Linked DNA regions of Arabidopsis thaliana. The protein of the gene in region 1 interacts with the protein of each later gene in a pairwise test. Each region holds a gene or a part of one and is shown in the gene's direction. Other genes may lie near its edges.

What was found. Proteins that work in one complex are often made in the same cells at the same time.
Region 2: the proteins of AT3G45840 (region 1) and AT2G14255 interact in a protein complementation assay, tested with the Arabidopsis thaliana proteins (one large-scale study listed by BioGRID).

What each region holds. Positions count from the first base shown.
Region 1 is NC_003074.8:16,847,351-16,851,927, reverse strand, and holds AT3G45840 (Cysteine/Histidine-rich C1 domain family protein), read left to right. Parts: upstream 1-1,983; 5' UTR 1,984-2,040; coding exon 2,041-2,739; intron 2,740-2,830; coding exon 2,831-2,901; intron 2,902-2,992; coding exon 2,993-3,998; 3' UTR 3,999-4,024; downstream 4,025-4,577.
Region 2 is NC_003071.7:6,034,845-6,041,649, forward strand, and holds AT2G14255 (Ankyrin repeat family protein with DHHC zinc finger domain-containing protein), read left to right. Parts: upstream 1-1,959; 5' UTR 1,960-2,129; coding exon 2,130-2,366; intron 2,367-2,437; coding exon 2,438-2,578; intron 2,579-2,739; coding exon 2,740-2,852; intron 2,853-2,988; coding exon 2,989-3,068; intron 3,069-3,358; coding exon 3,359-3,522; intron 3,523-4,239; coding exon 4,240-4,378; intron 4,379-4,473; coding exon 4,474-4,573; intron 4,574-4,786; coding exon 4,787-4,844; intron 4,845-5,099; coding exon 5,100-5,174; intron 5,175-5,253; coding exon 5,254-5,352; intron 5,353-5,477; coding exon 5,478-5,556; intron 5,557-5,633; coding exon 5,634-5,782; intron 5,783-5,871; coding exon 5,872-6,048; 3' UTR 6,049-6,253; downstream 6,254-6,805. Other genes in the region: PIP (proline iminopeptidase), read right to left, coding at 6,597-6,689, 6,778-6,805. UniProt on the Arabidopsis thaliana protein: Palmitoyl acyltransferase.

The sequences.
Region 1 (4,577 bases):
TTATTTTTTAGTTATTTGTTTAACAAAAATTTGTGCCTAGAAAATTTAAATAAATTACCAACAAAGTGTGTACTTAAAATTAATAATCCCTTTATTATTAAAAGGGAAGTACAAATTGAAATTTTGTCTAATTTGGCCTCAATTTTGATTTCAATTTTGGATTTTGTTCTTTGCTATTCAAAATCATTAAGGGTAATTTGGTCTTAACAATCTCCTAAACTTTATATGATCCGATTCAATTTAAACCGTTCAATAAAATTAATTCCCTTCAATCTAAACCGTTCAACAAAAATAAGAAATCTATATCGTTTTTGAAATCAAAATATGATCACAATCCATCCCTAAAAACACTATATTCAATCATGAAGTCAATAATCAATAATATCCAAATCATATATTACAATTCTTCACTAATCATTAGAAATTTATATTTATAAGTTTAAGATATCAAATTTATTCATATATTTAGTATAAGAACCAAATAAACCGATTGCCCGCGGTAAACCGCGGGTTAAAACCTAGTTTATTAGTATTAAAATTGTCACTATGGTTTAGGATCTTGTGGCTTCCTTTTAACTTTTAAGGTGACCGGAGAGTAGGAGAAAGTGTGTGAGGACGAGAGAAAGAGATTGCTTGAGCTTTGGGAGGATATAGGAGAAGGAGTAGTAAGATGATGACTCAGTGAGTTTGTAAAATGTGACTCGCTATATGGGATGGAGTTTTAACCATAGTAAATCAAAGAAAGTGAGTCGAAGAATGAGTGCCTTGATTGAGTTCGTTGCAGGGCTGGCTCGAGAGATCTTGAACACGTTTTACGCTATTTGGATTCTCGCACTCTTTGGAGACAGATTTTGATCGGAATAGTCATTGTTATTCTCCTATGAGATTAGTGTTTGGTGTGTCAAATTTAAATATGAGTATCATTATCATATGAAATATGTTTTTTTGGTAAAGCTAAAACGAATCACATTAATATTTAAGGTCTCACAATTATGTTAGCACATTAATTATTAAATATTGTTATTAAAATAGTTGGTAGGAAATCGATCAAATTTTTTTTTTCACTTATACCACAGTTTCCTACGAAATTCTTTACCAATTTGTTTTGTAGGAAAAGTCTCACGAAAGTTTTAACCATTTTTGCTTTTCTTCAAACAAATTTCGTAAGAAAATTGTAAGCACAGCTCTTTCCTTACTGTTTCCTACGATTGGCCATTAGTAAATGCAATGTTTTAGGACATATCAGCAACAACCTCGAAAAGTTTTGTTCCTTGTACTCAGTGATGATATAAGTTGTTTTGTGGTAGTAGTGAAGCTATTAGCTTAAGTATGCTTTTAAACACAAATACATTACATGATTAATTACATGTCAAATCTTAAAAAAAATTTAATGAACTTGCACTGTTACATCTCAAAACCTCCGACACATTCACATTAATTATTGTACTCAAATGAAGTGTGAATATTCAATGGCCTCGTCTCGTCTCCGGCTACTATCAATGGGTTGAGACTTGACTTTAAAATTCTCAAACGCTTTAATTAATGATATTATTATAAGACTGGCCTAATATTTTGACCAAACTTAATATATAATGACTCAAATAATTCCTAGTTGGTCTTAAACAATCAATACTTTGTTGTCCGAAAATCGTTAAACCAATAATTCAACTACCATTTTAATAGGTGAAGTAGTTCTCTTTTTGTTGCTAATTGAATGGAATGGTATCTATTTGATTACTATATATATATAAACCACATAATGCCACTTTGTGACTAATAAGCAATAATAATTTAGGCATTAAAAATAACAACTAGCAATAATCATCACGCGATAAGATTTAACTATTGATATCTTAAAGAAATTTTAGTTGTATGGTGTGCTGAGTAGATGATGAAGCCACTTCAACAACTGGTTGTAAAATATATTTTCAAGAACTTCATATACGCACTTCGATAGAGATCACAACAATTCATAAACCAAAAAAAAAGACAAGAAAAACAACACAAAAACAAGACATCAAAAGCTTCGCCTAAGGAGCCATGGCTATATTATCGATAAAACTACCTATTCACATACATCCTTTGTCCCTTTCCTTTCGATTTCATGATCGGTGTGAAGGCTGCAGTTTTCGAAACCAAGGTGAATACTATGGAGGCTATCGATGTAATGATTCTGACTGCAATCGTGTTCTGTTTCACAAGGAATGCGCCGAGTCACCACTTGAAATCAACCACCCTTCTCACCCGGAACATCCTCTCCGGCTTACAGAGAGGCCTCCAAGATATGAATGTGATATATGCGGCATTCATCACTTAGCTGATGTGCCGTATTTTTATCATTGTTCCATATGTGACTTCAACGTCGACACATCATGTGCGCGGAAACCACCACCGCCACCTACTCATGATTTTCAAGACCTACCATTTGTCTTTCCAAAGATAAGTGGAATATACAATTGTTGTGGAGTATGTGGGCACTCAGTTGTTGCTGGTAAATATTATTATTCACTACCTTCTCGGGATCAGTATGCTCATTTGGAGTGTATATATCATGAGAAAAAAGTAAACCTTCCTTTTCACCCTAATCACCCTCTTGAGCTCACCATATCTAAATCCCTCCCTGATGATGCCGAAAAAGCATGTGTTTTGTGTGGAGTGAGATCGGAAATTGTGATGTATTACTGCTTAATATGTGACTTCAGCATGTGCCTAAACTGTGTGAGAAGCCCTCCACCTCTTGTTATTGAGCATTCCAATACCCATGAGCATCATCTTACCCTCTTATCGAGACGAATCTCATTTACTTGTAATGTTTGTGGGATGCATGAAGACGGCCAAGTCTCTTATTTATGTCTTCAATGTGATGTTATGGTCCATCGAAGTTGTATTGGCTTACCGCATGTCATAATCATTAATCGGCATGTTCATCGCATAACTCTCACTAACCATATTGGCCCAGGGTATTCGGATTGCGGAGTTTGTCGTCGACCAGTGAATCAGTTTCATGGGGCTTCATTTGCCCCAAATATGTTGTTCATTCGCAATGTGCAACAAGTTACAACGTTTGGGATGGGATAGAACTTGAAGGGATACCAGAAGAAGCTGAAGATCTTCCGTTTAAGGTGGTTGGTGATAACCTGATAAATCATTTCAGCCACGAGAAACATAATCTAAGGCTTACCAATGAAGACATTATTTATGATGAAAGTAGCCGATGTGAAGCATGCATCTTTCCTCGCAACTCTGGTTCGATATATTGTTGCGATCAATGTACTTTTTTCCTTCATGAAAAATGTGCACATCTGCCTATGAAGAGACGCCACTTAATATACAACAGACCATTTACCCTACATGCTAGAGGAAAAGATCTCCAAATAGATTGGTTCTCATGTGACGCTTGTGGAAAACAATCGACTGGTTTCAGGTACATCTCTGATGATTTAATGCTTGATGTACATTGCAGTTCCGTTTCCGAACCGTTCGTCCATGATGGCCATGTACATCCCTTATATTACAAAGAAGAAGCCAGTACCAAGTGTGATTCATGTCATAAGCTGTCTTATAACATGCTTGGTTGTGATGTTTGTGACTTTAGTTTGGATTTTTGTTGTGCAAATTTGCCAAAGACACTTAAGCACAAATACGATAGACATCCTCTCTCCCTATGTTATGGTGAAAAGGCAAGTGGTAAATATTGTTGTGATATTTGCGAGACGGAAATGGATCCAAGTAAGTGGTTCTACACATGCGATGATTGTGTGGTCACATTCCATATTGACTGTGTTTTTGGGGATTTCTCACGCTTCATCGCAGGATCCATATTCGAGACTATAATATACACATTTGAAGTGGTTCCTACCAAAGATACTACACGACAGCTATGCTCCCAGTGTCACTCTCGATGCAAAACACCTTTCATTCTAAAGGCTCTTAGCCAAACTGAAGATTATTGTATTTGTTCTTTCAAGTGTCTTAGTTCATATTTTTCTAAGTTATGAATCTCGTGAGAGAACTCTTTTTCACAAAAGATAGTAGGGTAATATTAATGAATAACCTTTGACTATAAAATAATTAAGAAAATAACGTTGGACTTCTTTTCTATTAGAAACTAACCATGGACCCACTTTTTAGAAGAGGGACATTGACCAAATAACCCTTTTTACGTTTTATCAGAATTAGAGAACAATAGGCAGCAGAGAAGTTGTACGGCGGTTGAGGAGGCATTATTGCAAAAATGAATGTGATTATGGTGAATAGCATGATATATTGCCAAATATGAACATTGTTGTGAAAAATTTCACTCAATTTTATCGAATAACATGGTATATTGAGAAATCTGGACATTATTATAAAAATTCACGCAATTTTGTTGAATCTCATGAAATTATATAAAACATAATTACAAGATTTCATGTGATTTTGTTGAATAGCATGAAATATATAGAACATAATTGCAAGAATTTATGCGATTTTATTGTATACCATGAAATATTGATAAATATCTCTTTATTAGTTATTAAAGCATGGTGGCGATGGTGTCGAGAATGGTGGTGGGAGATTAAATCTGACTTGTGGCA
Region 2 (6,805 bases), on another chromosome or scaffold:
ATATCCGGATCATGATTTTTTATTTTTTTAATGTAATGTTAAATTAGATTCAAAAGAAAATTAACGTTTTTACAGCAAGTGCAACGTAAGTTATATCAGAGGTAAAATGAAAGCTGAGATTAACATTGTAATGAAAACTTAGAGGATTAAAAGCCGACTTTGGAGCCAGCATTGGGAGCCAGCATTGGAAGCTAGCATCATAGCGCCGGTCCTTTTGTCTTAGGATTGTAGTGATCCTGTTTCTTATTATCATGATTCATGTATCTGCATAATGATTAAATGTAGCTTTAGGAATGGTTAAGACTCCTTTCATTAGCTACTTTATTAAGGCAACCAAGCAACAAAAACACCAATAGATGAGGAAAATAGAGAGCATGTGAAGGCAACATCCAAACCCAATATATAGAGTTGAAAAACAGATTCACTATTAAGTAATCAAAGACTAGAATGGAAAACAAACATCAAAATCTAAAAGAATATAATAGATAATAATTAGTGAGCTCATGTTGATTATAGGGAAATAAGCGTTTGTAGCCATCTTGGGCGTGTCCATCAAGGTATATGAGATATGAGTTTTGATACTTGGAAGAAAAAAAGAGAGAGTATAATAATAATTGATGAGATAAAATAGTTTTTTAAATTTTGTAACTCTTAAATAATGATTTTTTAATAGAATAATTGATAAACGGGAACTTATTCACAGAAGCATATGTTAAAAGACGACTGATAATAACTACCATAGATGTTATTTCTGTTAGATATTCATCAAATAGCAAATTATCCTTATTTTAAATTGTAATTATTTAAATTTATGATCTAATAAATTTAAACCGAATTTAATAAATATCATAGTTTACACATGAATGAAGGCATTTGTATACTTACTTATGTGTTTTATATGTTGTTGATTTACGTATTATTATTTTTTTTGTATATTTACTAATCTACAAAAAAATGAACACAAAAATTTACAGCAGCGACAACGTCAGCGTCAGCCAAGCCTGCCCTTGGCACAAACCCAAGATACATGGGTATTGGACCTCCAAAATGTTTAAGTTTTTAAATAACAAAATTATGTTTCCAAAAAAAATTGTTATTGCAAAATCAGATCTTATGTTTCTAAATTTTTAATATTTAGTCTCAATTTGTAAGTTTATCTATTTGTTATTGCAAAAATAAGCTTTATTTTACCAAAATTTTAAAATTTGATCTCGAATTTACTTTTTATCGACAAAATTCATCAAAAAAAAATTTTGAATGAACTTTTCTGAAACATCTTCACTCTACTATGTTTCTGGTCACCGAATCCAATGCCCTCTTACCTGAATATAGCTTCACACTCTCATTTCATCTCATTCCAAACTCGTTTGGTAACCCGTTTTGCCAAAATCGCAACACAGACCAAGAATAATACATTGTGCGAAAAACCAACTTTGAGAGCAAATTCCTATCAAACCACAATGAATCAGAGGAATATATTTATATCCTTAGAAAGATCTCATTTCCAAGATTCCAGAAAATCTTTCAATGCTCAAATCAGACTTCTATAGCCAAGTCAAACGAAGGTGACAAAGTCAGACAAACACCACTTCACCAAACAGCAGCTTCTTTAAGTCTGCTCAAAAATTATGTTTGTCGATAAACTTCATAGGCCAATAACATTTAGCCACGTATGGGTCCCTTAAATATCAAAAAATCCCTTTCATAAAGAGCGTCCTTATCTATTTTGGTATTTTTCATTTAATTTTGGGCCTCTGGAAGAGTCTGCCACACAAAAAAAACCCATAAAGACTTGCCGTTACAACTGCTCTAACCGGCACTCGCCGTCAACGTATTAAAAACATACACAAAGACTACGTCAACGACTACGGTAACAAAACAAACAATAATCTACGGTAGTGTTTGTTGCTGCCGCTGCCGCTGCGACGAAACGAACAAACTAGTTTCCAATTAAGTGAGGAATGGAATGACAAATGAATAATCAGCGTTAGTCAAAGTATGAAAGAGTAGACTTTAACAAGATCCAAGATCCGAGATCCGAGATAATACCCACTCTGGATCCGACCCATTTCATTCACCTCTTTCTTAAGTCCTCAAACTTCAATTTCAATTCAGATCGTTGAGCAACAATGGACTCATCAGAGATCGAAGTAGTGCCTCTAGATTCCAACTCTCACCAAAGCCCTACCGAATCACCAACCATCACCGACGTCTTCTCCGCCTCCGCTTACGGCGATCTCCACCAACTTAAACATTTCGTCGAACATAATGGCTCTTCCGTCTCACTTCCCGACGATAATGGCTTCTACGCTCTTCAATGGGCGGCACTCAACAATTCCCTCCACGTTGCTCAATATATCATCCAGGTACCAATTTCTCGATAATACTGTGATAGTTCTCCGGTGTAGTGATTGATTTGGATTTGAACTATCTGCAGCATGGTGGTGATGTTAATTCAGCTGATAATATACAACAGACACCATTGCATTGGGCAGCTGTTAAAGGCTCCATTGATGTTGCTGACCTTTTACTTCAACATGGAGCTCGTATTGAAGCTGTTGATGTCAATGGCTTCAGGGTAATATCTTCTTTCTGTTGTAATTTTTGTGTTTTTGTTTGCTAAAGGTGTGTGAAATGGATCAGGAGTTATAAGTTTTGCATCAGGCTTGTTGCTGCTGTGATCATAGGCTTCAGATTCTTGTAAGATTTTGTCGATCTACGACATGTTTTGTTGTGCAGGCAGTTCATGTTGCTTCTCAATATGGACAAACAGCATTCGTGAATCATATTATTGTGGACTATGCAGCTGACTATAACGCACTAGATATTGAAGGGAGGAGTCCGCTACACTGGTATGGATACTAGAGATATTAATGGATGCTTAGAGTGTGTATTCTTTAGTTGTACATAGTATCTCTGTTACTTATCATTTGACAATTTGTGGAGAACTACTGTGAACTCTATATTTTTCATGTTTGTATGACTCAGGGCTGCTTACAATGGATTCACAGAAACAGTCCGGTTACTTCTCTTTCGGGACGCATGTCAAAATAGACAAGATAACACAGGCAAATCAGAAACTCTTAAAACTTTCTTTTAACTGTATTTACTTGTCTGCTCTATAATTAATAAAGAATGGCTTACATCGGAATTTTTTCTGTACCTTATGATGCGTAAAGATAAGTGCAAAAACGGATAAGAGATTATGAACTCTGATTTTTGAGTGTTTGTTTATGGAGGGATTGTTATAGCATTCCAGACTGTTAATGACTTGCGAAAAGTGTAGAATGCTGATACCCTGATATATATTTTGCACTATTTTCTTAGAAATTCTTACATTAATCACTTTGCTTGCCAGGCTGCACGCCTTTGCACTGGGCTGTGATTAAGGAAAACGTTGAGGCTTGTACGCTGCTAGTTCATGCTGGAACCAAGGAGGAACTGATATTGAAAGATAACACTGGATCCACGCCACTTAAGCTTGCTTCTGATAAAGGTCACAGGCAGCTCGCTCTTTTCCTTGTACGTAATGTTTAGTGTTGCTTGCTACCCTTCTAACATCCGTAAAGAGGAACATATCTTGATTATTCACAATTAGCTTCTTCAAATTTGATTTGTGGATCCGACATTTGCTTGCTGGCTCGCTCCTTAAAATCAAAGTCTCCTTCATATTTCATTTTCATCATCATTAAATGGACAGGAATAGGTTAATAAGGCTATTTAAAAAATGTTTCATGCAAAATACCCTTTCAAAGTTCTGTAAATTTGTATTTACAATTTACAAACAGACAAACATATGAAAAAACAATAGCATTGAATATATGAAAGTTTGATGTAAATATGGTTATAAGTTTACAGTTACTAGATAAGCCTTAAACGCAGAAAAGACGGCAGCTTTGTGATATTTGCTTTTTCTTATGCAGCTCTAACCCAGAATTTTTTCTCAGTATCCTTAGATGAACTGGCTCTGATTTTCAGATATAGTTAAGCATCATTCTGGTAGAGAACTTGTTTCTACGGTCTGTTTCAGTTTTAGGGTGTAGATGTAAGAGCGACAATATGATAGCGGTCTGTTTTAGGGTTACTGTAGGGTTTAGAGTTCACAGGATGAGGTATGCCTTGTTTAATGGTTGTAGAGTATGTTCAATGTTGTTTGCCCCGGTTTTTTTTAGTTTTTCTTAAAATTTTAATCATTTGATATGATGTGCTTTCTGAGAATCCGATTTTAATATTTTTCAGTCGAAGGCAATGCGAACTCGTAAGAATAGTTTTGTGGACAAGATCTTCTGTGGAAAACTGGGAGAGACTAGCTATGCTCCTATGTTGTTCAGCTTAATAGTCATTCTTATGGTCCTCTTCATCACATCCATTGTTTCAGGTGAATAACGCATACAACAAAATAGTGTGTGTGTGTTGAGGTTCTTACTAATGGATTTATATTATTTCGTCCTGACATTTTGCATTCATGTGTAGCTTCTAATCTCCCAAAGATAACTGCTATGGTTGGTCTGTGGGCATGTTTCGGTCTTTCATGTGGTGTTTACGCACTGATAACTTTCTATCGTGTTAGCAGGTATCCTTATTAGTCATCTTCAATTTATCTGAAGTTTTTGTGCATATTAGTTTGATGTACTTACTTAATGAGTCAGCGAGAACTAATCTTACTTCTTCATAAGAAATGAGGAGGTTGAGATGTGAGGCTGTAACTACTTTGTAGTGACTCTGAGAGAGGTGTATGTGGTGTAATGGTCTTGGAGTGATTAATTCGTCTCTTTTTTTTTTATAGGAAAGATCCCGGGTACGTTAAAAGAACCGGTGAAGCTAACAGCCAACACACTGCCAACGTAAGTTGAACTTTCTTCCCATGTTTCCATGATGAGAGAAATGTGAACATTCGTCTAGCAGATTGGCAATCCGTCTAAATTGGGTTCATGCATATATATACGAAATCAATGCGCAGTTGTTAATTGTTTAAGCTTTTCGTCTTGATCATGCTGAACTATGCCTGATTTAAGTAGACACCGACTTTAGATCAATTGAACAGTCGTAAGGTTTGTTCTGAAAGGTTTGATTCACATATTATCTTCTGATGTTTGCAGGACCCTTTGATTGATATCAATTTCAAAAACCCCTCATGGAAAGGAAACTGGTCCCAACTCTGCCCCACTTGCAAGGTTTTCCTCAATCCTTATTTCAGGGGATTACCTCGATATTTTCTTTGTTTTCTAACTACAATTATCATTTTTTCTTCAGATAATTAGACCGGTGCGATCTAAGCACTGCCCCACTTGTAAGCGCTGCGTTGAACAGTTTGACCATCACTGCCCCTGGATTTCCAACTGTGTTGGTAAGGTAAGAATCTCTTTCACTTGTTGCTCTGCTAATTAAAGTGGCAAGGATATAGTAATGACATGAAACACCCTGTTATGCATATTGTTTTGGTTAACGGTATCTTGATACACTTACTCATTTCACAGAAGAATAAACGCTACTTCTTAGTCTTTGTGATCATGGGAGCTTTAACATCATTCGTTGGTGGCACAACTGCTGTTCAAAGTATGTGACTGGAACAACTCTCTCTCGCAATCCTGCCATTAGATTTGACTATTAGTAAGCATCTGTTTTTGCTACAGGATTATGGAGAGGTATCCCACAGGTACACCACGGAGAATCATGGATTAAACATATAGTCATTGAACACCCTGATGCTGCCGTGTTTCTGTTTTTCGACTTACTCATTTTCATTGCGACTATGACATTGACAATCTCACAGTCTTATATGGTAAGGAAGTCTCAGCTAAAGTAAAAATTTGGTTCTCCCTCCCCTCTGCAAATGATTGTATAACAGTTATTGTTGGTTGTCTGGTGCAGATAGCTCGGAATATTACAACCAACGAATTATGGAACGCGAAGAGATTCAGTTATTTGCGGGGACCTGACGGAAGATTCTACAACCCTTATAACCACGGCTTGCGAAGAAACTGCACCGATTTTTTGGTTCATGGCTACACCAGGGACGACGAGGTTGTCCCGTCTTCAATTCTCTGAATTTACATCTCCTCATCGCATTGTTACATGCATAAACCCTCTGATTTAGTATACTGTGTATATATATATCTCCTCTTCGATTCATATATTGCAAAGTAAGGTTCAAGTTTCTTCTCCTTTACTTGACACACCTCTTGCACTCTGTAAATCTTTTCCTTTATCACTTACCAGTTTCACCATTATGCTACTCAACACCCATAGTCTCCAATCCTCTTGATAAAAGGATTTTTATTTGACTCATATGTTTTTACCGCTGGTTTTTGTTGGGGATTTCTGCATTTAAACGGTTCAAAAAGGCCATGGTTCTAAGGTATTCGTTAGAGTCCCATTCATTGGTTACATTGGTGCTTATAGTCCGGGTTTCAAAACACTGCACCTATGTCATTGTCTTTTTCATTTGGGTATAAACGTCCATGGAAATAACATTCGGTTTCGCGTTAACAACTAACTCTGAATGTGATATTTACTTTGCAGCAACAAACTTGAAAATATGAACAAAGGTCCCAAAGAAATGAACAAAATGAGCAGCTTTCATTCCATCAAATACTTCATCCCATAAGTGCTTTCATCTTTTCATTGGCAACCACGAGTTCCGCTGATATTCCTGGCTCATTTGCCGAGTGCCCAGCATCATAAACAATCTGCAGACCGTTGGTCGCATTACGACAATAAGCAAAACTAAACTTAGGAAAGATCTTGAAGAAATCTTGGAAAAGATTTTAAACTTACCTTGAGTTCTGCCTCTGGCCATGCTTTG